Linked DNA regions of Caenorhabditis elegans. The protein of the gene in region 1 interacts with the protein of each later gene in a pairwise test. Each region holds a gene or a part of one and is shown on either strand. Other genes may lie near its edges. The genes, in order: fln-1, unc-33, daf-14 and rev-1.

Region 1 (7,035 bases):
TCACGAGCTCCATAACTGATTGGATTGAGTTCTGGATCCAAAATCTCCACTTTCGGCACCAAATCAACTCCACAAAGACGAGTATCAACACGGAATGGAATCTTCTCACCAACGTTGTACACCTTCGATTCATCAATACCAGTGACTCGAGTTGCTGATGGTTTTAGGCCTTCGATTGGTTCAGTGACACGCAGAACAAACGGCGAATCCTGAAATTGAAAAACTTTCAATTTGTTAACTATCAGTCGATTGGAGAGCTATTACTAGTAGTGGGGTCATGGGCTTATTTATTCATATGATTTAGAAAAATGCAATCATTTTTTGCATTTTTCGGCATTTGTCCGCATTCTTTCTACATCGGCCGCCACCTCACTTCACATGCTAAAAACGAGACGCAGAGAAAACCTTTCCTGCGGGGACATATCTCTCTGCGTCTCTTGTTTTTAGCATTTGAAGTGGGGTGGCGGCCGATGTAGAGAAATGCGGACAAATGTCGAAATATGCAAAAATGATTGCATTATTCTACATTTTTCGACACTGATGAATAGGGGGAAAATGTATTAAAATACATGTTCGCATTTTTCACCATCACATGATTAAGCCGATTATTCAAGTAATTCTGCAAAATGTTTTTAAATACAATTATGACGTCACAAATGTATTTAAATACATGTTTTATATACTTTAATACAGTTCTGACGTAATTTTTCTACACTTTTCAATTTTCCGACATTACTTGAATAACCCCATTAAATACATAAAAACATGTATTTTGATACAGTTGTGACGTCATTTTTCTACACTTTTAATTTTCCAATACTACATGAATAACGCCATAACAAAACATGTTAAATTTAAAGCGTTTCATCTTATTTTAATATTTAGTTACCTGAATATGCTTTCCGTCGGCTAGCACCCCAACTTTGTAAACTCCAGCCACAGTTGGTGTATAGGATAGAATAGCACTACCATCTGGTCTCTCTTGACATCCGATTTCCGCTTTCGATGGTCCTTCAACAGCAAATGATAGATCTTTTGATTCTCCATTCATTTCCACATCAAACACGCATGGCTCATTTACAATTCCGCCTTCAAGTCCTGCTCCGAATGCTCTGATCTTCGAAGAGCTTTCCGGTGCCACATGGATCTTATGAGATTCGATGACTTCACCAGCAACCTTAACGAGTACTTCTAGATCATCAGGTGCTTGCTTTGGCGAATATTCGAAATCCATTGACTGAGATTCGTCATTGTAGCCAACTGAAACTGGTAGATGAGAACCATCCGACGGTTTCAACACTTCCAAAGAAATGTTTGCGTTGGCGATATTTTCTTCCGGATCCAACGATTCAACGTGGACACCAACGACATCATTTTTGCGAATTCCTTCTGGAGCAATTCCACGTCCCCACACTTTGAACGAATCTGAAAAACAATTTCATTACTTTTTTGAAATACAGAAACAGAGACATCATGGATTCAAGATTTAGTGGAATTCCGGATCTGTCACCGTGCCAACGCATAAAACGCAATTTTTCTCGAAGAAAAAACAGTTTTCTTCAAAAGTTCTCTTCAAGAAAATATGCTTAACAACACGCAACATGGAGCAGTTGTCACGTTTTTCTTTGAGAAAAATTGTGTTTTGTGCCAGATCCCTAATTCCACCAGATCTTGAATTCGTGGTGCATCCAGAAACTCGATTCTTATATTTATAAATATACGCACTCTTTGGTTTTCCACGCAGTGGGAATGGCGATCCGGTCAATGGGAGCTTCTTGTGGAAAACATTGACTGAATGTAGTCCAATACACGGAATTTTGTATTCGAATGAATGTTCTCCTGGTGATGTACCATCCAAGATAACCATTCGGTGCTCTTTTCCAGTTGGATCAACAACAATTGCTTCAACAGGACCTTCAATGGCGTCGACCACGGCGAATTTGACGTCATCTCCGACTTTGGCGGTTTTGTTATAATCGAGAAGGCGGGCGATTGGAACAACCTGAAGAACAAATTCAGATTATATATAAATTTTTTCTCTACCTGACAAATGACGCTAGCCTCAGGAATGGTCTGAGTCTCAAACGTGTGAACATCGTTCGCGGCTACATCCACGTGGATAAATCCAATCTTTGTAGGAGTGAACTTGACTTTGTAGGCGTTTTCTTTATCCTCAACCTTTTTAAGACTCAAATGAATATCCTGTCCATCTTCATCTCGGATCGAGACTTTCGGCTTAAATCCATCACGAGAAAGCTTCAAATCAAACTCTCTAGGATCATTGACTTGGAGAATTTTGTCCAAATTTGAAATAGTCGCTTGAACCTTTGGCTTCATTATTATTGGTTTTGTTGCAGGGAACTGTGAAAGATATGTCATTACAGACATTTCATCAATTTCCGGATGAATCATCTCAGCTGGAGCAATGAGTGGAGCAACTTTAAGCAAATCTTGAGCAGACTTCATGGCTTTCTCAGTGTTCTCCAGAGCATCATTTGGCGACCAATTTTCCCAGTCTTCAAGTGCTCCTGGAGCCATCGAATTGACAAGTGCACCGAGAGCAACTCCGTCGTTCCAGTCGGAAGTGAAGTTGGAAATCGGCATTCCTGAAACTTTAGGGTGATGAGTAAATGTTGCAATTCGAAATGGTACCTGGAAGACGATTACGAATCCAATTGAGGAGCTTTTGCTTCGGAGTCTCCTCCTTATTATCTCCATCTTCTCTTTTTTCTTGAATCCATCCCATCGAAATTGAATAATGGAGAATCAATGTCCAAACGAGTCCCAGAATCAATTTCTTGTTATGATCCACAATATGAGTACTGTCTGTAATTTAAAATAATGCAATTAAATAGAAAATGGGTTGTGGTGACCGAATATATAACTATTAAAATGTTTGAATGATTCTGTATTGAGCCAAAACATTGAGAAGTCAGGTTTTAATCAGACTTTGTCAAAAGTTCGAGACATTTTCGGTAAAGCTCGTGTGGTAAAGAATTAAAACGCAAAAAAATACAGTAACCCTTGTGATTTTTTTTTTTTGTCGTTCTCTCTCCTGATTCTGAAATCAAAATGAGAAAATTCACAAAACATTCCCTGATTTTTCAAACGACGAATTTTCGCACCAGAGACGCCATGTGTCGATTTACGACAATTTTGTATATTTACGAGATATTTTTAATCCTTATTGGATATAAAATCAGGGAAATTTTTTTGAATTTTTTCACATAGAAATTCAGAATCTGGGAAAAATTTGGAGTCAATTGAAAATATTTCTCAGATTTTCTTTAAGAGATAGTATCGAAATGAACATTAACTTGTAAATTAAAATTGAAATATTCAGTGTTTTGAATGTTTTTTAAAGTGGCCGTTTTTCCGAAATTCTTTCTCTAAAAACGACACTAATTGACACGTCGAAATATTGGCTTAAAGTCCCGAAAATGGGTATTTTTGTTGCGAAAAACGGTGGTCAACCTATGTTGTTCGTAATAATAGAGGAAAGGGGAACTCCGTGTGCTCGGGCGAGAGCTCCCATACACTGAAAACAAACAAAAACATGTTTGAACTACGGATTCGTCCTTTTGAACTGCTTCACCGCGCGGAGCAGTCTCGAAAAAGGAAAATATATCGTTTCTACGATACTATTTTTCAGGATTTCAGTGAAGGACTGCTTACCAATATTGATAATCTTAATATTCTCTTCATTCTGGAAGAAATTCAACGCAAGAGACACATTTTCGAGCTTCTGTGAACGAAATGCCACTTTCTTGTTGAATTTTCCAACATTCTTGTGGGAGAGAACTTGAGCCAATGCAATAAGCTTGAGACCATCCGAGAAATCAGTTTCCTGAAATTATAAATATAAAATCACTGAATAAAGTAATCCAAAACTCACCAGACTCTCAATAGTTTCTCCAGCCTTTTGCAAATGATTTTTGACCCATCTGGTGAATGTATTCTGTTGGATGATCTTCCATTCGGCGTCATCGTGACGGATCGCCGGAACGACCTGAAAATATTTATGTTAGAAAGTTGTATAGTCTTCTGAAAATAAATACCTCTTCTTCCTGGTCAAGGCGTTTTGGTTGCGCCATTTTAGACGTTGATTATTGCAAGTTTTCTAGCAGTCCTATATTATTCGCTTCTGCAAAAATCAAGGTATTGATAAAGAAGCGTGAGAATGAGAGAATAATACATGATTTAAATCGTACGGCCAAAAGGTAAAATCATTAGAAATGTCGATTCTTTTCTATCGACATTTCTAATGATTTTTAACACGTAATAAACTGCGAATACATGCATTAAAAGGTGATAATTGAATAAAAATTAAGTTCCAATGAAAACTTTTTTCTTTTAAATAAAATTTAAGTAACCTCTGCGAAAATTGCCAAAATTTGAGATTTTAGCTTAAAAATGGTAATTTTTCCACAACTTTGAACCGCCATAACTTTTTTGAGAAATTTTCAAAACGTCTCATTACGAAATTCGGTAGTTTTGGGTCATTTTTGGTCTAAAAAATATTGTTTCAGATTTCGGTACTCTGCCTTTAATTGATTATGGTACATTTTCAGTAAATAAGCACATAAATTGGTTTTTTTTGTCTAAACTGCACCTAACGACTTGAAATGTAAAATAATTAATGAAAACCCCACAATAAACATCTAAAATGCGCAAAATAGTGATAATTAACAAAAACCTGATTTCCGGCCGCTGTGGCACGTAAAGTTGGCAATAGTTGGAATTTTGAGATGGTATAAAAAATTTAGTTGCTCCATATTTACGATGAGAAATCAACGAGATAACAAACTAAACATCCTGGAAAACTAAAAACTGAAGTTTTTTTGTTTCAATCTTCAAGTTTAATAAAATCGAAAGCAGAGTTTTTGTTCAAACGAAAAGCTAAGAGAATTGAAGAAAACGCGTGCATGGTGATTCATATTTCATTTTTTTTGTGTAGGAAAAAGACACATAATACAAAGAGAACAAACGAATATAGACACGGATGGACGGCTTCTGGTACAAATGGAAGAATTGTTTTAGGGGGGGGGGGGGGTACTGTAGCCAATTGAAAAGACCAAAGACATGGGAAATTAATTTGAAAATCTTTTGGATAGAAATAGAAATACGGTAACGACAAAAAACGGCAACGTTGTACTTAAAAGAAAACTTGGTGAGAAATGCCCATTCTACCAGAATATAAAGTCTCGAGCTGGGGTGCACGGAAATTCTACAAAATGAGGTGGTGAACTTGTTTCCCTTTTTTTCATTGAAATTTGATGATACATAGAAAAACATTTGCTTTATAAATTGCGGAAAAATAACGTAAATTTTCAACTTTCGGACAATTTTTGAACACTTTCTCGGTTGTTTCAAATAAAGCAAATATTTTTCTATGTATAATTAAATTTCAATGAAAAATATCGGGAGAACATGCTCGACCGTCTCATTTTGTAGAATTGCCGGTCGGCAATGGCTGCGTACTCCTGTTTTCGAGTTTCGAAATTACAAAAAAAAACACACTTTAAAATGTTGACCAAAATCTAGTCAAAACTCGAGTCAATTGAAGAAGGAATTGCGGTATCCATATAAAGTCCAAAAAGAAGAGAAAGGGCACTGCGATGATCAATTCTCAAAATTTATCACCTTATTCCCTATTTCACACCCACTAAAAATGAACGACAAACGCAGACAGTGAAAGAGAACTTTCATTACCATTTTCATGTGCATCGTTCGTTTAGAACCGAAAATTTAACGATTCTCGATAGAAATATGAAAGGGTGTGCCGTTTGGAGGAACATTTGGCAAAAAAAAAAACAAAGTTTCTTTTTTGGGCGTTCTTCAAGAATATTTTCGTATTCTGAATCATCTTATTGCCACATTCGTCTATTGTTTCAATTTGACACTTTTGTAGACCGGATAGAAAGAACAAAACAGTGAAAATGTGACTCAAACAAAAAAGTTGCCAAATCCTGGAAAATGTACAAGTTTCGGAAGTTTCCACAACACATTCATAACATCTTCAAGGTCATCTAGGCGTCTTTGAATGAGAAGGTAAGATGACAGAGGGGGAGAGAACAAGGTGAAGATTTGTTGCGGGAGGAAATGGAGAAAAGGATCAACCTAGTGACCCGCGTTACCTAAATTTTCACCAAGGGCAAATCGGTAGACGTTCGGCAAGAATGTCAGGCAAAAATGTGTGGTGTGCAAAAATTACCAGTTTGCCGGAAAAAAGTAAAATTTTGGAATTTTAATGATTTCTTTCAAAAATTTAACAGTAATCCTGTTTTTAAACGCGCTGGAGTTTGCATTTTTAAATTTTGAACAAAATTGCAAAACCAAAATCTCCTTTTTTGGAAATTGCCGAAAACATATACTTTGCCGCCCACGATGTTGAGAATGCGTTAAAATGCAATTCTTTTGGATTAGAATTTACGAGAGTAGACGACGCGGCAAGATATGCAAATGTGATTGCTTTTGGTGTTTGTGGGGGTGTTCTTCGGTACATTTGGTATCATGAACTGCATTGACTCATTTATTTTCTCACATATAGATGTTTATTTTGATGCCACATGCCACAAACACACTCACGACATTTCTTCGGAAAATACCAAAAAAATTTGGTGTTGAGAACGGGAGGAAAGCGTGGGTTATTTATATGCAACTTTTCGACCGATGACTGTTCACCTCTGATAAGAAACTCGTCAAACTCTTAGAGTGGCAGCTGAAACAGACGTCAGTGGCCGAACTTCAATCAATAATGAAAATAACTATGGAAAGAGATCGCCAGCAGGTAGATATACTCCAAAAATATTAATATGCCGTGTATAATATTCGAATTAAGGAAGAACTTTCGGAGATGAAGATTAATAATTATTGAGAGAATAATAATAATGATGACCCGGAAACTAGGCGAGGATAAAATCTCAAACATCAGAAATTCCTTGCATGGAAGGAAAACTGAAACAAGCGGAAAAATCTATCAGATTTTTCCCTCGTGCATGAGCCCATCTTCTTTACGGAGGGAGCCCGTGCTAC
Region 2 (6,577 bases), 3.1 Mb from region 1:
GATTTTCTAATTATTTGACACCCAAAATTGCTTATTTTCAGAGATATTACTCTAGGAGCAGCGGAGCAACCCAGTTCTCGTGAAAAATAGGGAAATTGTCACGAAATTGACACTAAAAACTGCTCATTTTTCACACTTGAAAAAACCAAATTTTGCATGATAACTGCTCTATGAGCTCCAGGAGCAACATATACCTCAGCTATAGGTTAAAAAGTAGGGTTTTGTCGTTAATTTGACACCCAGATTTGCTCATTTCCAGGGCCAATGCTCCGGAAGCAACTGAGAAGACCCCTCCCTCCACCATTAAATTGACACCCGGAAGTGCTCTCTAATTTGACGTGGTGCTCCAGGGGCAGTGAAAGTGTGGAGACGAACACACATCGGCTCCGAGAGCCCTTCAGTTGGCGTGTGTGTGTGTGTGTGTGTGCACTTCAAAAAGGCTAAGACTTGGCTCTCCGGCGGACGAGGAATCAGAGAACGGACGAGTAGAGGAGACGCAGAGGCGTACAACTCGTAAGAGGAAACAAGTATCGCGTTTCGCATGGGTCCACTCAAATTTGATGTGAAATCGAGCAGAAATCGAGAAAATGTGTGCAACATGACGTCATAGGGTTGACCTTTTGCCGTAAAGGCCTCTTCTGGATCCGTGGTCTAGAAAAATCCCGTTTCTAGGCCATATAACCCAACTTTAGGCTAAAAGTCCCGAATAATCGGGTGCTCGGCGTCTTTACAAGAGGATCAGTGGCCGTGGCCGCAAGACAACTAGGCCACCTTAACAAAAAATGGATTTTCTCGAAAATGAGCACTTTTTTCGGCAAATTTCCCAAAATTTTCAGCGAAAACACTAATTTTCGGCGGTAAAATTGTGAATTTTAGAGATTTTCGACAAAATTTCAACTTTTTTCCGGATTTTCCCCCAAACTCGGGCACTTTCACTCATTTTTTCCCGATTTTTTCCAACGAAAAGTCCCTTTTTCCCCATTTTTTGCGAAGGAATTCAATTAAAATGGCTACGAGAATTGCGAAATTCCGTGGAAAAAACTTGGCATTCGTTTGCTTAATAGGCGTAGGAGAATTGCGAAATTGGTTCGAGAATCGGAAAATTGCGAAATTTGAGCGAAAATGAGGCTGAAAACTAAGAAATTGACAATTTTTTTGGAAAATTGGGGGAAACAAATAAATTTTTGAACTCAAAATAGAAAAAAATGTTAAAAATGGGATTTTTGTAGAAAAAATATTTTAATTCTTTTTTTTTTTTGGCCTGAAAGCTCCAAATATTGGGCTGGTTTTAATATAATTTTCACAAGAAAAAGTTTTTTTTTAGCTTAAAAAAGTAAAAATCTATAAAAATTTTAAATTCCGAGAAAAAAAAACGTATTTGGGACAGAAATTTCAATCAATTTCTTGAAAATTCACGAAAAATTCACAATTTCTAGACTAAAAAATTCTCAACATTAAATTAAAAACCAATTTTCCAGGGAAAAACTATATTTTTAACTCAAAAATTTACAAATTCAGACAAATTCTCAATTTCTGTGCTGCAAATCGCTGAAAATTCGCTTAAAACCTCTTTTTTTTACCGAAAAATTCAATTTTGAGCTCAAAATTCTTGAAATTCGCTTTTTTGTTTCTTAAAATCACAAAAATCTCATGAAAATTCACAATTTGTAAATGAAAATTTTAAAATTCGCGGTAAATTCAGTTTCTGGGCTAAAAATGCAAAAAAACTTCATAAAAATTCACAAATTTTAGCTGAAAATCACAAAAATCTTACGAAAATTCACAATATCTGGACTAAAATTGCTCAAAATTCCGATTAAAGAGGTCAATTTTTGACCGAAAAATTCAATTTTCAACTCAAAAATCCGACTTACTGAATAATTCCATCTTCAATCAGAATATCAGCTACAAAAATCGCATCGTCATTGACAATTTGAGCATTTTTGACGAGCAAAATCGACATTTCACCGCCGCCTCCGTTGCCGTCGTCTCCACTATTCTTCTTCTCAGCAGCCGACTGCGCAGAGCTCTCACCGTCTGCCGTCTCTTCAATCGCCCCACTATTTCGTCGGTCTGTCGGCGTCTCTCCATTTCTTGTACTATCTCCGTCTTCGGAAGGATGACCCTTTTTGGAGGAAGAAGAGCCATTGTCGTCGTCGTCTTTTTCGTCCACTTTCGATTCGTATTGAGGCTGGAGAAAGTAAGAGATAAAGGATGAAGAAAAGAGAAGCTTTTTGCAATAAAATTGACAATTTTATAGGAATTTAAAGCTTTTTAGAGTAAAAATTGGGTAAAAACATAGAAAATTAACACTTTTATGTTTAAATTTTGCCATTTTCAAGCTAAAATTGCCTGAAAATTGCTATTTTTAGGGCTTTTAGAGAGAAAATTGGCTGAAAAAATTGGGGAAATTGGTTGAAAAAAATCACTCTTAAAGTTGTAAAAATAAGCTTTTTGCAATAAAAATTACCAGTTCTATAGTAAATTTTGAGCTTTTTTGGAGATTTTTCAGGCTAAAATCGCCTGAAATTTATAATTTGTATTAAAAGAGCTTTTTGCTGCAAAATACTGTACTTCTAGAGCTAATTTTCAAAATTGTGAAAAATTTGACTTTTCTTGTGTTAAAAACGTTATTTTAGAGCCAAATTATTGAAAATTGCCACGAAAAGTGGAAAATTACACTTTTTGCAAAAAAATTGACAGCTTTAGGAAATTTAGAGCTTTTTAGAGAAAAAAATTAACTAAAAATCGCTTGGAAAATTAACAAAAGTGCAATATAATTGGCAGTTGGAGCAAAAATTGCTCAATAATGTGGAAAAAAACTAGATTTTAATTTCTATTTTAGGAACAAATTGCCTGAAATCGGGGTTTTCTTTTAAAAAATCTGAAAATTCATTTAACCTATAATTGTCACTGAAATTTCTGAATTTCTCACCATTTTTCTATTTTTTTCTGCTCAAAATTTCGCGATTTTTCAAACAATTACAGTGAACATTAATTTTTTAATTGTTCTCCAGGTGACATCTGTTCAAACAATTCTCTCTCCCTCCGTCACAAACAAACAAAACGCCGCGAAAAACTTGCTAAACTATATCAAAAATTGATGGAAAGGACACAGAAAAATGGGAAAACTCGTGAATAAATCACGAACCTCTTCCATTTCTTGAGCTTCAGCCTCAGGCTCTTCCTCATCGTCAACGCCGGCGCCAATATCTGGACCGGGAAGCGATTCGGCGGGGTTGAAGCTTTTCGGGTAGCTTTGAGGATCTAAAACGTCTTCTTTCGCTTCTTGCCAATCCGAATCGAAGTCTGGCGTCGATTTTTCTCCGCGCAACACCTTTTCCGCCGGGCAGTTCGGGTCGGGGGGTAGTTCTGTAAAAAATTCTGCAATAAATACTTATTTTCTACATTTTTAATGGTTTTAAACACAGATTTGTGGCTTATAAACCACAAATTCTCTCGAAAAATCTGATTTTCTCACCAATATCCGTCATATCCATCTGTTCGAACCCTTCAAACCATTCTGGGCCAGGCTGAGAGAGTTTAGCATTGCTTACAACACGATCGGATGGCTGAAAATCAAAAAAATTGAAGAAAATTGCAGGAAAATCGGTTAGAAATTACAAAAATTGGGCTTTTAAATTTCAAAAAAATAACTAAAAAAAAACAAAACTCGTCGAGACCCACGTTTCGCAAAGTGATGTGTACCTTTAAAGTTACGGTAGTTGATAATGAAGGTTTAAGAGAGTTTTGCCTGGTTTTTGGTATATTTGACATAAAAAATTAATGAAAATTGGAATATAAAAATTATTTTAACATATAAAGTCAAGAAAACATTAGAAATAATGGCAAAAATCCTAAAAACTAAAGAAAAACAATTTTCGTGGCGAAACCTGGACTATATAAATTGTGATGCGCCTTCAAAGATTACTGTAGGACACGTTTGAATTTATTTTTCTATTTTATTTTATTTTTTCATTTTTTCTTCTTTCTTTCCGGGATGTTTTCGATTTATTCTAGAATTTTTTACTGTAAACACAAGTTTTTATCAAATTTTTCGTAAATCAACGTGGTTTTGCCCTGAACATTGCGACTTTTCGTATCCTGCGACATTAGAAGTTAGAAAAATTTTTAAACTCACCGCGTCGGCTGGGTTTTCTCGTTTTGATGGCGCTGGTGACGTGCTGCCTCCGCCACCAAATAGCTCCTAGAAAATTCGATTTTTCACCAAGTTTGCTAGAATTTTGATTTTTTAAACGGGAAACCCACCATCATTGCCGACGACATCTCGAGACCCTTGTTCTTGTGCCGCGCTGGAGCCGGAATCGCATCTTTAACCGGAATCGGAGAGGATTTTCCTTCGGATCGGGCCGACGTTGGCAGTGAGGACACACTCGTCTTTTTAACAATTGCCGAGCTTCGGCTGTTCGGACGGCTCCCTAGCTTATTCACTCCTAAATTGGGCAAAAACTTCGCTTAAAATTACGGGAAAACGTGACTAATCTAACCTTCACTACTCCTACTTTTATTAGAAACAGTCTCCAGGTCATCCAGATTCCTGAGCGTTGGAATTACAGATTTCTCGGTGCCAGTGCTCGATGGAGCTCTAGAATATGGAGAATCTGCTAGAAATGTGATTTCTACGTAGTACTTTGTGCCTTGTTGCTCTCTAAAATTGGATTTAATTGGAAAAAAAAACCACGGAAAACGCAAAACTTACACATGATTTGCTGATCGAATTGGTGCTAAAAACGGGAACATTTTCCAGTGATGTCCGCCAACTATTTGGCCCTCCTCTAGTGATAAATGTGTATTTTGCGCGCTTTCTGTAACGAAAAATTGGGTTTTTTCAATTATTTTTAGGTTAAAAAGAGGTAAAAATGAAGATTGGAGGAAAAAAGACGGGAAAATTTCAATTTTCGGATTAACTATGGTAATTGCGGTGGTAAATCTTCTTTAGAAATTTGCAAAATGTGACTTTGGGGGAACTTTCGAGGGGAAAAAACAAAATTTCCAGTGGTTTTTCAGGGGTTTAATCAAATTTTAAAGAAAAATTCATAAATTTTGAAATTTTTCTACGGAAAAAATGGCTTTTTACACATATTTTATGTAAATTTAGCAATTTTTAGTGTGAATTCTCTCACGAGACTAAAAATCTTATTCCTGCAGGAAAAAATCTAAAAATACAACAAAAATATTGTATTTTCAAAAAATAATGTTTTAGTTTTTCTAATGTTTTTTTTCTTAGAAAATCGATTTTTTTGCAAATCGAAAGAAAAAAATCTTCAAAAACCCAAAAAATGCTCCAAAATTGAAAAAAAACTAAATTTCACATCAAAAAACAGAGAAAATTGTTTGTATTTAAAAAATAAGAAAGCTGTAGAAATTTCTAAAATTTTCACGAATTTTTTCCAGTGAATTTCCAAAATTGAGATCAATTTTCTGGCTGCTTTCTAGAGAAAATTGACAAAAAAAAGAAAAAATTCAGAAATTTTTGAAGAAAAATCCTAACTTTTCTTTAAATAAAAAACCTAAAAATAAAATTCTGAAATTTCCGAAAAAAGGAAAAAATCTGATTTTTTAGAGATGAAATTTCTTGCAACTCTCTGAAGAAAATTAAACAATCCAAAAAAGCTCATCAAGAAACAAAGAAAAGTTGTCCCATCCCCACAAAAAGGCACGAAATCGATGTGAGATGGCCCCGAAAGCGGCGGCGGAAAGCCTCCGGGGAGTGTTCTCTGTGTTTCTCTCCGTCTCCGGCTCTCTCTCTGACTCATTCTCTCTCCACGAATACCATGTCAGAGACGCAGAGGGGGGTCACTATTGGTTTCTCTGACGCTCTCTCGTCTCTCGCTTACAATGTGTCCGCCGGAGAGGTTTCCGCCCGATTTATCGATTTACAAGCATCCATCGGGGATCGCTTGGAGCTCTGAATTTTTCGAATTTCCCGCATCTTTTTCCGATTGGATTTTTTTAGTTTAAAACCGCCCGCGGTCAACTGGTATTGCTGTGTTTATATTGAAAAAGAACACAATAATTTGTTTATTTCGCAACACACACCGGGTGGTGTGTCGGTATTTCAAACAATGATTCATCAAGAAAGGAAATAATCATAAGATGACAGTCTCCGTTTTTTCTGCTGATTTTTTGAGAAAAATCAGCAAAAAATTGAGATTCTCATTGCTTTTTTCTCGGAGATTTTGCACTAATATTCATCGAAATTCCGGATTTCGCGGATTTTTCATGAAAAATTTAGAAAATCCTTATGTACAGTAGTAGTGCTTCCGCCATTTTCTGCTATTTTTGGTGAATTTGTCCCGAAATTTGAGTTTTTAGCTGATTTTTCACGAAAATCTAGAAAATTCTAGAGGCTTCGATTTTTCCACCGATGCTCCATTACTCATACTCCGTTCTTTGTTGATTTTTTTTGAGAAAATCAGCAAAAAACTGAGATTTTCATTGCTTTTTCTAGGGGATTTTTTACTAGATTTTGTCGAAATTCGGGATTTCGCGGATTAAAAAAAATCGAGAAATTTCTGATTTTCAGTAGTACTTCCGCCATTCTTTGCTATTTTTG
Region 3 (9,388 bases), 9.9 Mb from region 1:
AAGAGGTTAGTTTAACTTGAATTCAAATTAATACTAAATTCTTATCGGAAAGCAATAATATAAATTTAAATCGAAATATGATTACTTTTAATTAAATTTAAACTATTTTTCATTACAATATGGTCTGAAAGATTACTTAAAGATCAAATAATCAACGATTTATGAAGAAATCGAACCTTGATGATCGATGTATCCTTTTATCTGTGATCATTAAAATATTTATCTCCGCGAAAATGTTGCAAAGAAGGAATATAGTTCAACCAACAAACATTTTCTCAAAATAATAAAAGCATGAAGTAGTTACTGAAATTTTATATCATACGAAACATGTTTGGTCATACCCCGAAGTTCAGGAAAATTCCAGTGATTGCTAAGATTTTTTTTCCAAATTTGAAATTAGGTAAAGTAGTTTCAAAAAAAAAGTTGTATGTTTACACTTTTCCAAAGTTATCTTAATATTCAGAATACCGAATGCGTCGCAGACGTCCGATACTCTTTTCTGATGACTTCTCGGATGAAGCTGGTTTCGATCAACAAATCGGAAACTCTGATCGTCATCAAACAACACGAGATCTTTCTCCATTAAGATCAATGAAACGTCTTCGCCATCAAATTCCATATAATCAACCATACCGAGTACCTGGACCAATGACTCTTCCAGTCTCTTCGACAACTAATATGCTTCATCGTCCAGTTCCATTGCCCGGTGCCCCACAACCAATGAGAATCCCGCTTCCTCCGGGTGCTCCGATGCCAATGCCATTGGCTCCACCAGGAATGGCTTTACCACCTTCCCAACCAATACAACCTGTTCAACAACAAGTGGGTCATGATATTCTTAAGTTGAAGCCAATTCTACAATCGAATCCTCAAGAAATGCAGGAAGCTACCGCAGAGAGTTGTGCAAAAATAACAAAACTGGCCAAGAGTTTTAGTATCAAAGATGTCTCGAAATGGGCGAGAGGCAACTGTCCCTTCCTGCAGGTAAATTTTAAAATATAGAAATCAAGGCTGCCACTACAGGTAGGCATTTAGGAGTGACTACGTGCCTATCTGTTACGTATTTTTGGTGCTCTTTTGTGAATTCCTGTTGTTGGTGTTACAACAGAGACACATTTAATCAAATCACTTTTTCACAATCATGTTAATTTTCCTTATTTGCAGATGTATGCTCCAAACGCCAGCTGTGAACTCATATTCCATTTTATTGATTCTTGTAAAAGCAAGAAATTCTTCTAAACTATGACTTAATTTTTCTCAAAATGTTCTCTGTTTTCTTTGCTCTTTTAGTTTTGTGCTCATCCTACATTTAAAGACATTTCCAACCCATACGGGATCATCTCATTTTATTTATTTCCACAATTGACACTTTTGTCGTCAGATTTCTAATTTATTGTTTCAGGTTCCTCTCCTTTCCACCAAAAATGTATTATTAATATTATTTTAATAATTTATTCGCATTCATAATCATTTCATCAAATTATTTAATTACATTACAAAGTTCTCAAAACAGAAGATTCTAATAAATAATTGAATTAAAGATTTTAGAAAAGCATTCAAGAGACTGGGAATTTTTTAACCAAAAGAAATGAAAATTAAAAACTGGGACAGAAATGGAAATATTAATCAAACGGGTACGCATTCGAATGCTTAGAACCAATCATTGAAGTGAAAATATTGAAGCAATCATGATCGGGATCCTATTTCCGGCCGTTCGTTATTAATACGGAAAACCTGAAGATTATTAATGGAACTTTAATTACTTGAAACAATTTTGTGTGTTATTTCAAGTGTTTAAATTTAAATTCAAATTCAAATTCAAAATGGTCTCAACTATGCCATACACTTAACAGTTAATTCCATTACTAGATCATATGTTGAATTTTTTGTGTTTTTGTTTTAATGATTGAAATAGTCATATTTTGTTTAATTATTTTATAAATAGAACCGGATAAGACAAATGTGAATATAATTATTAATTATTTGTCTTTCATGAAGTTTTTTAATTTATCTATTTATTTCGGAAACAAATATAGCCTTGATTCACCGAAAGAATCCAGGTGGCTAAAAAATCGATTCTTTAATCTTCAATGGAGATACTTTAAGCCTATACAAAAATTGCTAGCCAGTAAAATTCAGTAGTCGGCTCAGTGGTGTACAACATTTTCAGAGATCTTGGGTATTTCAGCTGCAGTTGGACCGCACTATCGGAAATTGTGTTTTAATATTATATTTTTAATTTAGGAAAAATTACATTAAAGTTTAAAAACTCACTGTATCATACTCATCAGCTGGCTCATGCAAGATAATTTCAATCCAACACGGTAAATTCACAACTTTCAAACGGGAATACGTTTCTCCGAATCCTTTACAGAAAGAGACTCTGATGTTGGAGAAGATTCTCATTCGTTCATCAGCCACCTCTTTTTCAGTTAAAGGTCCGAGAGCCAATGTTTTCTCCTGTTCAAACTGCTCCTTATCGAATATTTTCATTCTTTTTTGATCTCCTTTGTTTTGCAACCGAAACACATATTTCAGTGGCTTATTCAATGTCTGGTTCAGGAATGGGCATTGTACAAAAACAATTTGGTCAGTCAGTACAGTTAGCCAAAGTTCTCCATTTTCATATGCCAATTGAATTCCTGCTCCAACTGTGTTTCGGATTTGTGAGCTTTTTGAATTTCTCGAAGATGGTTGAGATGTAAGCGACATTCGGCACTCATCACTTGCTCCAGTTGCACCATCGATTGTAATTGTTGGGACTTTGGCTTCGAATGCTTTTCCTAGCTGAAAATATATCATTGTTATGCTATCCGTTTTTTGAAATTCTTTCTCAAATAATTTTGAACTTACTCGAACAGTCAGCTCGTAGTAAAATATGGTACACCACGGTTTTTCTTCTTTTGGATATTTGGGTTCAGGATCCAACATCTCGTTTCCAGTAGGACGTACTTCAACTACTGCCTTTTCAGGAGTTTTTGGTTTCAAAGAAGATTGGCTTGAGCTAAAAAAAGAGGTATGTGAATGTGTATAACTTTCAAATAAACGTACATATTTGAAAATGGAAACGGATCATTATTTTCATCAGTTGATGTTGACGGAACATTATAGCAATCAGGCATTGGAGCATCTTCCAACCAGTCGTTTATTGGCATGTTTGGATTATTGATGCTTGCCGGTAAGTGAACTTGATCTGTAATTTTTGTATATCAGTTTGAACAATAAAATAAAAGCTCAATTCCAAATGTTAAATTAGTCAGAAACTTGTTTCCCAAGTGATTGTGATCACGGTGACTCATATGGATGATGAGGGACTTAAGCTGGATAATTTTCGTTTTAGAACTTTCTGATTCATATTAAATCATATGACAAACCGGAAATAAATCGTCTGAAAAACATCGAAATCATACGAAATATTTTTAAAGATATTTTTCATGTTTATAATTGTTTTCTAACAAAAAATTGAAGCATATTTATATTTTATGTGATTTGAGGCATTCTGAGATCAGGAACTGAAAACGTCTGTTTTATAAATATATTTTTTGCAGTTATAGCCACTTCTGTCTAGTTTTCCAATAACTTTGTCATGTCTACAATTTGACTCACCTGGGTACATATAATTCCCCGCAGCCGCCCAATTTGTGGGTGTTGTTGTAGTTTGAAAACTGAAAAGTCGAATATTTAAAACGAGTTAAGAAAAACACAAAACAACAAGGAAGTCGGTTGGCTTTGATATTAATACAAAATGAAATAATTATGAGATAATGAGATCCTATAAGGAAGGGATTATCTAAGGATTACGAATATGAGGGTTGTTGGTGAAATTAGCTGACGTGAAAATAGAGAAAAAGTCAATTGAGTGCATAATAATGCCAGAATACCTATAGATAAGAAATAATGACGTCGTATTAGAGGTTTTGAAATCGGTTCAGTTAAATTTTTTTGCTCTCTATCAGCATGCTATAGAAGGAAGATAGTTTTGGGATATTCATTTGATAAATAAATATAAAAATAAATGTACTGAAATCATTCGATTTTCTAAGTGAAAAACACAAAATCATTTAAAAAATATGTTCACTTTTTCTTCAGGTCTAGTTTCCTTATTGTCAGAGTCTAGCAACGTGTCGTCATAACAGGTGTATTAGAAGAAATTAAAAAGTCGACTAGACTTGTTATAGGGCAAGTCTCACGACCTTAGATTGTTATCTCTCATAAGAGTGTACGTGAAGTTGCCAGACAGGTGCTGTCTCGTTCTTGAAAAAAGTGTATTCAACTATATATCTAATGTTAGATAATGTATGATGCGGTAAATTAAATGTTGCTACTTAACTTTTTTTCATATTCGGGAACGAACTATGGTTCCTTTTTAAAAACTAGATCTGGCAGAATAGAACCAAATATAGAGTTTTTGAAGAAAATTGAAATAAATATATGTATATGAGTATTGGAAACAGATCAAGAACTTTCACCTTTGTTGACGTCAGTCATACTCTTTCTTTTTGGAATTGCGCTCGTTTCTGACATCAGTTTATAAAAGTCGACGGTTAAAAAAATAGTATTGGAACTAGAAGAGACGTGAGAAATATTTTGAGAACTAGATAGGAAAAACGAGAGAGGAGAGGAGCGAGAGTGAGCGTTAGGGTATGTATGTGTGTGTTTTCTGTCACAACAAATGTAAGTGAAAGGAGGAAAGAAATGGGAAAAAAGAGAGAAAAAGAGAGAGAAGAGAGAGAGAGAGAGAGAGAGAGAACGGAGAGAAATAGAGAACGAATATACTCAGAGCATCGGCAACACGTGAGCTTCTGCTCCTAACAGGAAGAAAAAAGTTGGAGTGAGCGCGTAATAGGGAACGATAGCACGTGATCGATAAATAGAAGGAAATGGAAAAAAAGACGAGGTTGAGAACGTCATCTGAATTGTATTTTCAATGACGACTACTTTGAATGAATAAGAGAAATGAACAAAAGAAGGTTAGGGAAAGATGACAAAAGGTTCGTTATTACCGTTCGGAAGAAGAATAGTTCGAGGAGGGGTAGTTACGAAATAAAATTCGAAATATTTTTAGTTACCCTCTGAAATTTTAATTTTTTCATCTTTCCAACAAATTAATGTTTTTCAACATTGGAAATTTCATTGAATAAAAATTAATAAATTTAAAAAAATCGATAAAAAAATCCATACCGAAAACCCCTAAAATAGTGTGACTCTAGAACACTGCAACGTGGCTCTGTCTACAAAGTGTGGTCCATCTGTTGCGCTGTGCTCAAATATTTGCCGATTGCAGGAAAAGAGACGAGAACAGTAACACGAAAAGGTCAGATAGATCAAGAAGATATTATTCGTTTATTGGGTTAAGAGATCAGATTCATAAAAGGCTCGTAGAGATAAACAAATTATCATAATTTTCGGCTTTAGATGTTTGTTTGATTGTGCCTGTTGGAGTCTAAACTTCGAATTATTTACAAAAAATTTTTTTTGAAAAATTTAAAAAGAGAACATTGTGGTTTTTTCCCTATTTTTCATCAAATTTTCCTGAATTTCTTGGAATATTTGGGGACTTCTTTCATAATTTTTTAAAAATTGCTAGGAATTGCAAATTGAGTAACAAACCACGATACTGAACTTTTGGGGAAACTTCAAAATGTAAATGAGGAAAAGACAGGGGCAAATACAATAATTGTGTTTTGATTCCGGTGAACTCAAGAAGAGCGGGTACGTTGCAAACTACGAGAAAGAGAGGTATTTATTGTTTCCGCCCCAGGACATCCGTTGTAAACTTTTTGGTTCAAAAGATCAAGACACAGAAATGCGTAGACAGGGCGGAGAGAGAAATATGCATCTTGTCTTATAAAAGTCGGAACGAGTCAGTCAGGTTAACAATATATTTCCATCTCACTGTCTACGGGGGAAGTGATAGTGTGCTGGACAAATATAAAACTTATTTGGTTTGAAACGTTTTGTTGAAGTTACTGATATAACTTAGTGGTGTTGCCTAATAATTGGAACATTCTAGGTTTTTTTTCAAGCCGAGAAAACAGTTCAATTACTTGTTTTTTGTAAAATTGAGTTTAAAGTTTCAATAGAGTAGAGCAGTCCAGAAAAGTCAGACAGATTTTTGAAATAAAAAGCTTGAATCATCAAAAATAGCTTCCAGTTTGTAAAACCCTGTCAACATTGGTATATATATTGGACTAAAAATAGTCAGTCACCTTTAATTTACTTTTGTTATAAGTTTACATAACTAAAATTGCATTGAAAAAAGTTTTGAGCGACTTTTATAATAGTTTGTTAACAGCCGGGAGTTAGGAAACTATTTGACACGGAAAAATTACAAATTATTTTTCATTAAAAAACAGAAGTAAACATAATTGAATGTGACTATTATCGGAAAAATCACGTGGTGTCAGGCTGTTCCATGTCCCATATGATCTACAATAAATGCGGGAATTGAGACGCAGAGACAACTGTTATTGCACGGTTAAGACATCTTGACACATCGTAAAAAGTACGATTATAAATGTTATCAGCATCACCCGTTTAAAAACTTACTTACCCAAACTCGGCAAAATCGTCCATGATTCCTAACTCTCCTTGGTTGTTAAAAAGTGATCCAAAATCTTCTTGTTCGTTGGACATTATAAATGTTTCTGCAAAAAAATGTGTGTTCGAAACAACAAATCTCCAAAATATAAACGGAAGGGTGCCGATTTATGGATTGTTTGAATAACAGGTAACAAATCAAACATCTACTACACAATTTTTGCACTTTGAATGAAAAAGTCAAAAACAATTGTGTGAAAAGCGAGACTTTAGATGATCAAGTCACATCCAAAAGTATATAGAAAGAGTAGAAAATGAGCAGAAAAACATAGAAACGCAATGACTCCATGGTGATGGTTTTATGTGAAGTGGCGTGACTAGGAAGGGTTCAATATGAGACAAATAAATACGAATTGACATTACTAAACGATGCACATCAGGTTGTTAAGCCAGTAATAGACCCAATTGTACCTTTAAAAACGACTAGAATTTTGATCATAACAAATTATTCGATAGTTGGACAACCCTCGATTGCAAATAATTTGGATCCAGTTTTGAAGATTCCCTGTAATTCAGCAAAATAATATTCTGTCAGATTGAGATTAATGGTGGAGCTTGGCCAGTAGAGAAATGATTAAAAACCACAGAAAAAGAAAAATGAGAAAAGTACATTGGTAATGTGAACGAAAGTTAAACGTTGAAAAGATAAGTTTATTTGACGATCAAGAAGATATTGAAATGAATGATCACGAATGAAATGATACCTGTTCGATTGAAAGTATTGTTTGAATTGTTGAATAGAATCTCTATGAAAGACTTGACACGTTCAATCGAAACTCTCATATTATACATTCGACAGAAAAAACAATTTTTGGTCCCTTGCAAATATTTAATTTTATTTGCAGTTTTGCAAATTACGGAGATGAAAACTGTCCTTATTTCTTCAAACAGTTTCGCAGATAATAACTTATTTATTATATATTCATCAGTATTCTTTTCTCGAAATGTACATATAAACCGGTAACTAAATATCGATATTTCTGTTTTTTGGTAACTTTGTCATTCATCACAATGGTCCACGTAACGTTTTTCCAACAGCTCCTCTGACAAGACTTCCTGCGTATTCCTCGTCAAGTTTGAAATATGTTGAAACTTTCAGATAACGATCGTGGAAAGTTAATCTGAAATTATAATAAATTCATATTATAGAGCTCGTTTCAAACTCACTTTGGACTCTTCAGAATTACACCTTGCATGGTTGGCAGAGCAATTCCCATTTGAAGAATTTCAGTGAGAAGCTTCTCTAAAAATTCAGCACCAAATAATCCCAAGTCGGAAAATGAATCTTGGTCGACATCGTTGATTTTTGTTTCAAGGAGCTGAAATATGACAATTTGATTAGCACCTCAAAACTGAAACATCCAGGCCGGCTTCCAAAAAAATAAATTGGTGACAATTTTCTTGGTGAAATATCATATAATCGCATTCAAGTCTTACCCAAGTTCAAATTTTTCCATCTTTAACCCAAAATGTTTTAAACTAGTGTGGAAGATTGGGATAGATTGGGCCTATTTACATTTTACGTAACCTCTTTATTTTACAATTTTGAGCTTTCTGGTGATTTTAAAGGCCTATTAATAATTTACGTTTCGATTAAATTACCATTTGTAAAAACACATAAAAACATATAATATTTGGCGTACGTCGTACGACTTGAAATTACATAGCTTCAGTAAGAATGATTCATAGATGATTGGATGAAACATCTCACCTTAAAATCCAAATTTTCAATCGTTGAGTTTCCAACAATAATTGATCCATTGATCCACAAGTTTACGTTTGCAGTCATTGTCGTGTCAGCTTTTAGGATCTTTACGAAAATAAAAGGAATTTCTGTTTCATAGAATCAAATAAATCAGTACCTGCTGTTTAACTTGATTTGGCTTCGAAGGTCTTACGTACATATTAAGACCTCCATGGAGTCTAAACCGAGACCTATCATCAATGAACACAATTAGTGGAGCCTGAAAATAAGTGTGTCAAATAATTAGGATCGTATATTAGGTAACCTACTTTCTTTGCGAAAAATTCAATTTCAACTTGTCTATCCGGGAATTGTTCTCCAAGTGTACCAAGGAACTCTCCAAGACAGAAACCAGCAGGACCACAACTTGTAAGCAAAAGTCCTTGAAGCTGTGGAGAACTTTCGGGTCCAACTGTGACGTCAAGGAACTTTTGACGATATGAATGATACAACATTGAATTAGCCAGATAATCACTTGCATAGAATTCAATCATATGAACTCCTGAAATAAATTACTTTTAGAACGGCAGTTGAAATAATTCATACCATGTGGAGGTGGAATTCTAACATTTGGTGGAAAGAAGGGAGTTCCACCTTGACCTCGATATGAGATTTCTCCCTTTGACATCATATTTACAGCACCATTTTGTACAAATGGAGCTGTCAACATTTGATAATCCAACACTAACTCCTTATCACGAAGCCGTTGTACGAAATGGGTCAAGGTGATATTCTTGGCATTCAGATTTGATAACTTTCCAGCCCGATGATGCTGAAATAAAGGTCGTTAAAATCAAAAGAAAACAGTTTGAAAGTTGAGCATTCGACTCTAAATTTTCTACTGTAACTCAAACATACTAAATTATCCGATAATTAGACAATTTTTCAAAATGTTGACTGATCTAAAAAAAATTTAAAGTACTTTTTAGTTATAACTATAGGTTTCATGGCACATTTTGAGTATATATTTCAAATACAATACAATTTATTATTTTTTTTGTACACCTTCAAAATAATTGGATTCAATCTGAAAATACGTGACAA
Region 4 (8,520 bases), on another chromosome or scaffold:
CTGTTTATGTTGAAAGTTTGGATGATGAAATTCGTGTAAGTCTGAAAATCTAAAATTTTGGAACAATCTAAAAATATGATCTACCAAAACCATGGAGTTTTAAATTTGTAGTTTTCAATCTATAGCATAACTTTATTACAGTTACTTCATACAAGTGCATCGTCAAAACTATCAAATCATCCACAACGACAGCATCTTCGGAAATTAAAATTCAATGTAGACGCAATGCAAGTGCAAGCAGTTCCGGGAAGTGGGAATTTCATAAAAAAATATGAAAGTTACTATTTTTTAAATTTCAGATCATCTAAACGAACGAGACGTTTCCGTTTCAACAACTTCAAAACTTTCATTCGCTGATCTGGAAAATTTGGCAAATGGTCCTAGAAATATTCCAAAGTTTTGAGAATGGATTTCAAACTGATTACAAGCTCTTTCCTGTATTGATCTCGACGTCTTCTTACTGGTTTAATATTCACGTCTTCACTCATTCATTCCTTCTCTTTTTGAATTATAAAAGTTTATTCAATGGTCTTAAATATGTTATTTATTCATTTTAATTTAATTATTTTACAGAAAAAGAAAAACAATATTTTACAAGATTTAAATTCAGGTATGTTTAGTGGAATCAATTACAAATACTTCTTTTGGAACAAATGGCTCTGGTGAACTAATTGATGTGTTATCAGTGTTGCTGGCAATCATAGCTCCCAAATTTCGAGTGGTAGCTATGGGAAATTCAAGCAGATCTTTTGATTCTTCTTCGATGAATGGTACCATCAAATGGAATACTGAAAACCAAGCAGTGTCGCATCTACTAGAATCCATCGAAATCTCTTCAAACTTTCTGAATACAGTCTCGAATGCGGAAAGTTTTCCATAGTTTAGCAACGTTGAAAGCATTTCCTGTAAGTTCGTAACACTCTCCTTGGTTGGCTCTGAAAAAATTGATAAAGTTATTCCATGAAACATCAGATTTTGGGTATCTCACCATTTTGAATAATACATTCCAATTCGGCCAGACGATTTTCAACTAATCCATCATCTTCCAAATCTTCCAATTCGAGGTTGTTGTCAGATCGTCCATTGAGAAGTGTGGATTTTACAATTTCAGGAATATCTATGTCATTTGCCACTCTAAAATTAATTTGACGAGGTATGCTTTGCACTTCCAGATCTTCAGTCACAGCTGGAATTATCACAGGTTCTTTATCTAGTTCATCTTCGTTTCGCGGAATAATATCTGAAAATACAGAATGTTTTCAATAAAATTTCACTACTTAAATACTAACTCAATTGTTCGTCAGTTCTCGCCATATTCCCAACTCTAGAGGTCTTCCCAAACATCTCTTGCACTGCCGTTGCCGCATCTTTTTTCAATTTACTTTTCAACTTTCCACAGGTAACTCCAACTCCACGAAGATCTTCTACTTTCGGAGAAACTTTAGCATATAATTTCATAGCTTCTGATGTGAGAGACTCTCCGCGTGTAGTTGGAACGTTTAGATTACACGTTTTGGTAAATGTATCACAAATTCCATGTCCCATGAATTTGGATGTTTGTATAGGAGCATTTGCTGAACGTACCATAAGCTTCAAAGTTATGGATCCTGCGGTTAATTTACTATCGATAAGTTTCCGTTCTAACTCAGCTCCAATAGCTGTCATGAGTTGAATAACTTCACCTCTCTGAAATATTCCATCGTTATACGGACATTTTAATATAATACATTACCTTCGTGAAACGAATACCATAATTGATATCACATGATACTGATTTTCGAACATGAGTAGCCCAAAAATCATCTGGATCTTCTTCAATACCACGACATTGTCGTAATATTTTTGAAGCCAACTTTGGTCCGAATACAGGTACAAGTTCCCGTTCAGTTTTTAATTGTAGTTCACGGCATTTTGTAATATCACCTGTAAAACTGAGAAGTTGATATTTTTATATTAGATACTGGAATTACCAAAGAATGAAGTTAATCTATTCATCATTTCGTATCCAAATCCTGGTAGATCTTTAACTTTTTCCTCGGAAATGAATTCATTTTTCTTATGTGCATTAACCCAAAAAACTCCATCTGGTTTAGCATGTCTTGTTGCAAGTCTTGCTAACAAGCTCGTAGATCCTATTCCAACACTGGCTGGGCATTGAGTCTTCTCTCGTATCACTTTACGGATGTGTTCAGCGAGAATTGTTGGGTCGTTGATTTCGTATTTTTCACAAAAACTGCTCATGTTTATATACATTTCATCGCAGGAGACTGCACGAACCTCCAATGTGTAGCTAGCCAGAATTTCATAAATTTTCCGACTAACTTGCACATAATCCTCAAATTGATATGGTAATAGAGTTAATTGTGGACACTTTTGTAGAGCATCTCTCACGAGCATACCATTTTTGACTCCACAATCACGAGCTGCATAACTGCAAGAAGCCACCTCGCTCATGCTATTCGAAATAGTTCCCTGAAAGATTTATAGTTTGACACGAAGCTTTTAAATTGATTTACCTTGCTATGAGTGATGGCAACTTCTTTGTGTTTCAAATCAATTCGATTTCTGACAGCAACTGAGACGAAGAAACAGTCTAGATCCACGTGGAATACTGTACTTTCCCGAGAAATTTCATTGCTAAGAGACTTCATATCGATGAGTTCTTTCTCTTCAAAACACTTTTCCGTTAGCTTTCCTTCCAGTTTCAAATTTGCCACAAAATCTTTCATATCCTGCGCGAGAGTAGAAATCAAATGAAGACGACTTCTGGCATAGTAATCTCGAATAAAGTTTGGATTCCGGGCATCAGAGAACTGATTCGATGAAGTTGTTTCATTGTTACCACCGGTGTTTCTAGTTGATATTGTTAGAAACTGTTGCATTTGTCCCTTTTCCACCGAACCTTTCTCGTATATCAAAAAATCTCGATAATCGAGTGGTTTTCCAGCAGCTATTCTGAAATACTGGTTTAATCGGAAGAATCGGGTTGATTATATTTACGATTCCGTAATCCAATCAGCTTTAATGAAAATTTCATTTTCTCGAATTCGATTTATTTTTGCTGTAGCAATTGAGGAAGCTATCGTGTATGAAGTAATTCCATGTTGATAATAACAGTGATATTCACCTCCGTGAGAAATCATCAAATCTCTGATAACAAGTGCTGGTGGATCTGAAATAAGTAACTGTAAAATCAGTCGTTAAGTTATGGAATATGAAATTACCTGTATAACCATTCACAAATACCGAGAATCCTTCCATTATTCTAGACACATTCTCTAGTGGTTTCGCATATCCATGATTCACCTGATGGTTAAGTTTAGTGATCTTCATCCGCATATAGTCATTCTGAAAAAAATGATTATTTCCTGTGGGTTATTATCAGTTAAGTGCTAAACTGTCCAAATGTCATAGTAAAACTTTTCAAAAAAGTTGTTTCTTTACAGTCAAGCGTGTTTTGAAAACTGAGAGGCCATACTGGAAGTCGGACAGAAAATTGTCTTTACGAGTTTATAATTTAATTTGGGTTTCGATAGTTTTTATTTAAATATTCTAGGATTTCGAATATACAGCGATGCTCGAAAAAAGTCCACATTTGGAATGAAACTTTTAATTTTACGTGAAAACGAAAAACTTTATTTATAGTAAATGATTTGGTGTTTTGGGCAAAAAACTCACAAAATTATTTATTTCGAAATTTTGTCCATGTATGGTGATGGTTTTCTGTTGATTCCAGTACTCGCCACTATCTGATGAAACAACACCAACTGGGCCATGTGCAGCGGATGTTGAAGGTTCACAATCATATGATTTTGGTTCTAGACGACGCTGTAATCTAGAATATTAACGATTGTTTTAATATTTCTACATACCTTTCTTGGTATAAGTTTGATATTATTTTGAATAGGAACTTCAACCGGTAGCATTGTTCCTTGCTTATCCATGCTATTTCCACCTTCTCTATCCGGATATTCAGCAGCTTCATGTTCTGAGTCAACTTCTTCAATTAAATCACCAAATATGTCTATACTGATATTTGCTGCCTGTTCAATGTCTACTTCTTTTCTTTTCTGATCTTCCGTTCTGAACGATTTTAAAAGATCAGCAAGTGCATCATTATCAGAATTATTTTCAGTTTCATCCTCTTCGTCACTGGATTCTAGCATTCGAGTTATTGTATCATCAGGATTTGCGCGTTTATTTTCATCTTCTAGTACAGTAGTATTCGGACAATTTTCGATCACTGTTACTTGGGAATATCCTGTTATTCCGTCGAATGAACCCTTAAAGAAAGCAGAAGTATTTTGAAAATAGCTATTTAATATTTTTGAAAACTAAATTTAACGATTTCATTGAAATTATTCGACATTCCATCGAACTTTTCGATATATTTGCAGCTAATACCTCATCTGAAACAATTATAGCATCACTTCGTCGTCGATTCACATTAGGAGTCGGAACAAACTTTTCAAAAGAATCATCTGAATCTGGATGATCGGTGAATGGGTCAGGAGAATGCATCATTCATTGTATTGATTTCTGGAATCAATATTTGTTTTCTGATTAATTGCGTCTTTAACCGTAATTCTGTCGACAAGTATAATTTCTCACAGTTCATACTAAAATTTTCTGAAAATAAGAATCGATAAAATGTATGTTTCATGTTAGAAAAAGTTTATTCATCCGAAAAAATTCGAAACAAAAAAATTGGAGATGAGGCGAAGGGACAATAGAAATCGAGAGGGGCAGAGAAAAATCTTGGCTGGTGCTAATAAAATAATTAAATTCCCAAAGCTCGCTGAGATCATTCACAGAGGGGAACAAAACAAACGGCGAAAAAGACCAAGTGGGTGCAATTGAAAGCAATACAAAAAGGTGAACAATACAGATATGTCAATTGTACTTTTTTCTCTAAATTGTACCGTTCCCCTTTTATCACTCGGAGTAAATATTATGCGCATGTTTTTTTCGATTGAGAAGTGGCAATAAATACCCAAAGAAAAAAGAAAACGAGGGTGCCAAAATATTCATCGATATGGATGCAAGAAAATAAAGAAAAATAATACTATAACAGATTAAAGCATTTGTCGTTTGGAAACCGCGCAAAATCTATTCTTTCAGTTTTGAATTTGTTAATTGGGTGCTAGAAATGGTGAAGTGTGTGAAAGTGTCAATTTTATAGTGATCATGTTAATTGCCTATATCTTGGAAATCTCAGTGAAAAAATCAACATAATAACTATAAAAGTGTTATACAGGGCATGGGAAGATCACCAGAAAGTGTGTAGTCGACCGTTAGAAAGAGAGAAAAGACAAAAATAATTTAAAAGAAAATATGACAACGAAACATTGGGAAAAAGGATAAGTTCACAATGCTCTGCATTCATCAGAAAGAAATTTACCCATTTTTACATTTTTGTAAGTTTTTAAGCTCCAAAAACTTGGAGCGAACTACTACTGCTATACAGCTGGCAATCGGCGTGTGTTATTTCCAACTGTTCCTCGATTTCCTCCTGATGTCCTCGTCGTTGGGGGTGCTTGTCTTGAGTACATCACAAGACCACTCGGCTCGTCATCTTCATCAGAATCATCGCCGCCAGATCGAGACGAGTTGGCATTCTTTGGCAAAGGAGGTGGCAGGGTCAATGTTGTCTTTCCACCAGTAGGAGAGATCTAAAAAAAATAAGATGTATACAAGAAAAATAACAAAATTTAGATTTTACCTCTCTCCTTGGGCCAAACCAAGATAATAAAACTGGAAGAAGAATGAGTCCGTTTATGATTCCAATGCAAATCAGAGCCGTCATGACAATAAAGAAATACTTGACAACAAATCTGAAAATAAAACATTCTGATGACATCCATACTTCTGTAAAACTCACTCAAACTCTGAGAATCCAAGCATCAAAATACCGAGAAGTGTGGAGAATGATCCATGAATGACTGGGACAAAAACTCGATCAACTGCAGATGACGTCCGTTGAGATCTTGTTCCGAGCGCCGTCAGGAATGATACAACCACATGAACAGTGAATTCGACTCCAATTCCAACTGCGGTGATCAAAGTTACGGCTGAAACCGGATTGAGCTTGATTCCAACGAGTCCCATGAATCCGGCAAGTTCGCAAGTCATGATTCCGAGAATACAAACAACCATAAGTGCAGCCCATGGATTGAAAAGAAGAACGGAAATGACGCAGAAGACAGAGATGGTAATGATCGAAATGGCTTGCATAAGATTTCCAGTCAAGAAAAGATATTGTTCCCAGAATGTGAATGCGATTCCTTGTGGGAAATTTGGAAGTCCTTGATCGGTAAATCGTTCACAAACACTTCTGATGTCCTTTATGGCATCGACAATCACAGCGGTATCCGTGAGGCCAGTTAAGTAGAATGGAATCTGCGAATATGCAAGTGGCTCAGCAGCTGGGATGAAGTTTTCGGTATGATTCTTGCTCAATTCCCATTTTGGTGGTGTTGGGAAGAAAGAAGCTTGAGATACATAGTACATCATGTGATCGACATTGAACCATGCTGTTAAATAGTTGTAGAATCCATCAGAGTTGATAATTCCACTTGCATCAACTAGTCGAATCTTTCCTACTCTTCCAGCACACCCAAATAGAGAACCATGAGAGCACATAAGAGCATGAGCAAGACGAGCATCCTCGGAAACATTGCTGCCAATAACTGTTCCAGATGTAAGATTGAATGATCCTTTAGCAACTTCTTCATCGAATCCGCGTTGAATACTAATGAGCCAGTCTCGCATTAATCCCAGCCAATACTTTTCTGATGGCTCTTCGTTTTTATTTTTAATCACATATTTTGAAGATCCAATCGACTGTCGGTAATTGTCAATCTGGCGTTGCTGGTGAGCATAATCAATGTTAGGACCCTTGATGACAGCGAACATTGGGTAGAAACTGAAAAAAGAAAAAAATATTTTTTTGAATCATAAACGAACTTCTTACCTGAAGTACTTGTCTCTGGCTCTCAAGAACTGTGCAGGTGCAGTATGTTCTGGAAGAACATCTCCCAATTCAAGACCGAGTGTCGACTGACGCATTCCAATAAATGATGCACCGAGCAAAGCACAGCAGCCAACGATGATTGCTACTTTAGATGCTGGTTTAGAAATGAATGGAATGTAGTAGTAACGGATGAATGAATGAAGAGACCATGGAGCTGGATCATCGCTAGATGCCATCTGCGCTTGAGTGATTCCGTCGAACTGTTGCATAATCGAAGCTTCCGAAGGTGCTCCAATAATTCGTTTACTTTGAATCTTTGGCTTAGAAATCATCGAGTACGATTCTTCTCTAGTGTCACCATACAAGCAGCAAACCAAATCACGACGCTGAGCCTTCTTTCGTCGAAGATCAATGGAAATGATCGCTGGATAGATTGTAAGGATAGCTATGAAATTGAATGTGAGAAGAATACTGGACTGAGCACAGAATGATCGCAGAGCTGGAATTGGTAGAAGAGTTCCAGTGAGGAAGGAAAGAATGTTGTTGATCGAAGTGCACAGAATTGACATTCCAGTTTCACGCATCAGGATAGCCATCTCAGCGTGTCCGCCAGCAAGTTTAACAACGTCACGATAGTTGTGCAATAACATGAACATATTATCAACACCGATTCCAAGAGTGAGGAATGGTACAATTTGTGTTGTAGCAGCGTTGAATTCTATTCCAAACCAAGTGGCGAGACCAAGACCTGCCACTGAAGCGAATGTGACGACGAGAACTCCTGCAAGAGCGAGGCCCATTGATGATTCTGTAGCTGGAAGGCAGTTGTCAAATCGAGCTTGAGTGACAATAGCATATGCCAGCATGAGAGCATATCCAGCAAGGATGATGGTATAGTTGAATTGACAGAATTCCTCGAGCATATCAGCAATGGATGTCGATGCAAGTGGATGCAATGTTCTTCTTTCGTTTCCATCCTCATCAACGTTAGCCTTATGATTGTAAAGTGACTTGGTGAAATTTCTCTGCCATGCTTGAAGAACTTGTTCAGCAGCGGTTTCGTTCCATGCATCCATGTCTAATCCAGTCTTCATAGAGTTTCTTCCAGGCTTCTGCTTGAATCTCAGGAAAACATCGGCGGGGCTTGCAACAAGAAAAACGGATTGAAGAGCATCAGCTCCTGATAGTTTTCCTCCCTTCTTGGCACGTCTTGGATTTCCAAGTATCATATCTTCAGGCCAATTGAGAACGTTAGATGCGAAACCAGAGCATCCACCAGTCATCTCTGCTGCGTAATCAACATTCTGTGGGTACATGTTTTCAGACATCACTTCTGGCCATTTGTCTTTGTTCTTTTTTAACCATTCGAAAGCAGACTTCCGGTATGATTTACAATCTGAAACGTGATTTTATATTTGACTAGAAAAAACGAATTTACTTACAGTCTTTCAACTCTCTGGCTTTTTGCTTCTTCTCTTTTTCTTCTGCGGCTCTGGCTTCCTCCGGCGACAAAGTAGTCGTAGTTGGAATCGGAGCAGTTGATACTG

The links.
Region 2: the proteins of fln-1 (region 1) and unc-33 interact in a two-hybrid assay, tested with the Caenorhabditis elegans proteins (one study listed by BioGRID).
Region 3: the proteins of fln-1 (region 1) and daf-14 interact in a two-hybrid assay, tested with the Caenorhabditis elegans proteins (one study listed by BioGRID).
Region 4: the proteins of fln-1 (region 1) and rev-1 interact in a two-hybrid assay, tested with the Caenorhabditis elegans proteins (2 studies listed by BioGRID).

What each region holds. Positions count from the first base shown.
Region 1 is NC_003282.8:371,919-378,953, forward strand, and holds the start of fln-1 (Calponin-homology (CH) domain-containing protein), read right to left. Parts: upstream 4,095-7,035; coding exon 4,059-4,094; intron 4,010-4,058; coding exon 3,896-4,009; intron 3,848-3,895; coding exon 3,676-3,847; intron 2,827-3,675; coding exon 2,653-2,826; intron 2,613-2,652; coding exon 2,044-2,612; intron 2,003-2,043; coding exon 1,726-2,002; intron 1,686-1,725; exon of another isoform or gene 1,603-1,685; intron 1,426-1,602; coding exon 890-1,425; intron 210-889; coding exon 1-209.
Region 2 is NC_003282.8:3,515,070-3,521,646, reverse strand, and holds the start of unc-33 (Protein unc-33), read right to left. Parts: upstream 4,762-6,577; coding exon 4,721-4,761; intron 4,670-4,720; coding exon 4,509-4,669; intron 4,455-4,508; coding exon 4,270-4,454; intron 4,208-4,269; coding exon 4,142-4,207; intron 3,573-4,141; coding exon 3,482-3,572; intron 3,373-3,481; coding exon 3,152-3,372; intron 2,192-3,151; coding exon 1,875-2,191; intron 1-1,874. UniProt on the Caenorhabditis elegans protein: During neurogenesis, plays an essential role in axonal guidance and outgrowth by regulating the polarization of both microtubule and actin cytoskeletons.
Region 3 is NC_003282.8:10,247,894-10,257,281, reverse strand, and holds daf-14 (Smad-related protein daf-14), read right to left. Parts: upstream 6,656-9,388; 5' UTR 6,637-6,655; coding exon 6,554-6,636; intron 3,666-6,553; coding exon 3,607-3,665; intron 3,194-3,606; coding exon 3,052-3,193; intron 3,005-3,051; coding exon 2,854-3,004; intron 2,788-2,853; coding exon 2,275-2,787; intron 1,735-2,274; coding exon 1,687-1,734; 3' UTR 1,430-1,686; downstream 1-1,429. Other genes in the region: F01G10.9 (aECM cysteine-cradle domain-containing protein), read left to right, coding at 1-5, 464-984, 1,165-1,239; F01G10.10 (BPI2 domain-containing protein), read right to left, coding at 7,607-7,721, 7,768-7,919, 8,312-8,410, 8,463-8,564, 8,614-8,846, 8,891-9,116. UniProt on the Caenorhabditis elegans protein: Probably an atypical receptor-regulated SMAD (R-SMAD) that is an intracellular signal transducer and transcriptional modulator activated by TGF-beta-like daf-7 signaling.
Region 4 is NC_003280.10:7,896,648-7,905,167, reverse strand, and holds rev-1 (DNA repair protein REV1), read right to left. Parts: upstream 4,547-8,520; 5' UTR 4,522-4,546; coding exon 4,405-4,521; intron 4,284-4,404; coding exon 3,873-4,283; intron 3,829-3,872; coding exon 3,679-3,828; intron 3,349-3,678; coding exon 3,225-3,348; intron 3,173-3,224; coding exon 3,001-3,172; intron 2,956-3,000; coding exon 2,517-2,955; intron 2,473-2,516; coding exon 1,971-2,472; intron 1,924-1,970; coding exon 1,733-1,923; intron 1,687-1,732; coding exon 1,290-1,686; intron 1,241-1,289; coding exon 989-1,240; intron 936-988; coding exon 607-935; 3' UTR 501-606; downstream 1-500. Other genes in the region: best-23 (Bestrophin homolog), read left to right, coding at 1-35, 142-250, 300-403; ptc-1 (Protein patched homolog 1), read right to left, coding at 5,460-5,672, 5,723-5,834, 5,882-6,925, 6,974-8,369, 8,416-8,520.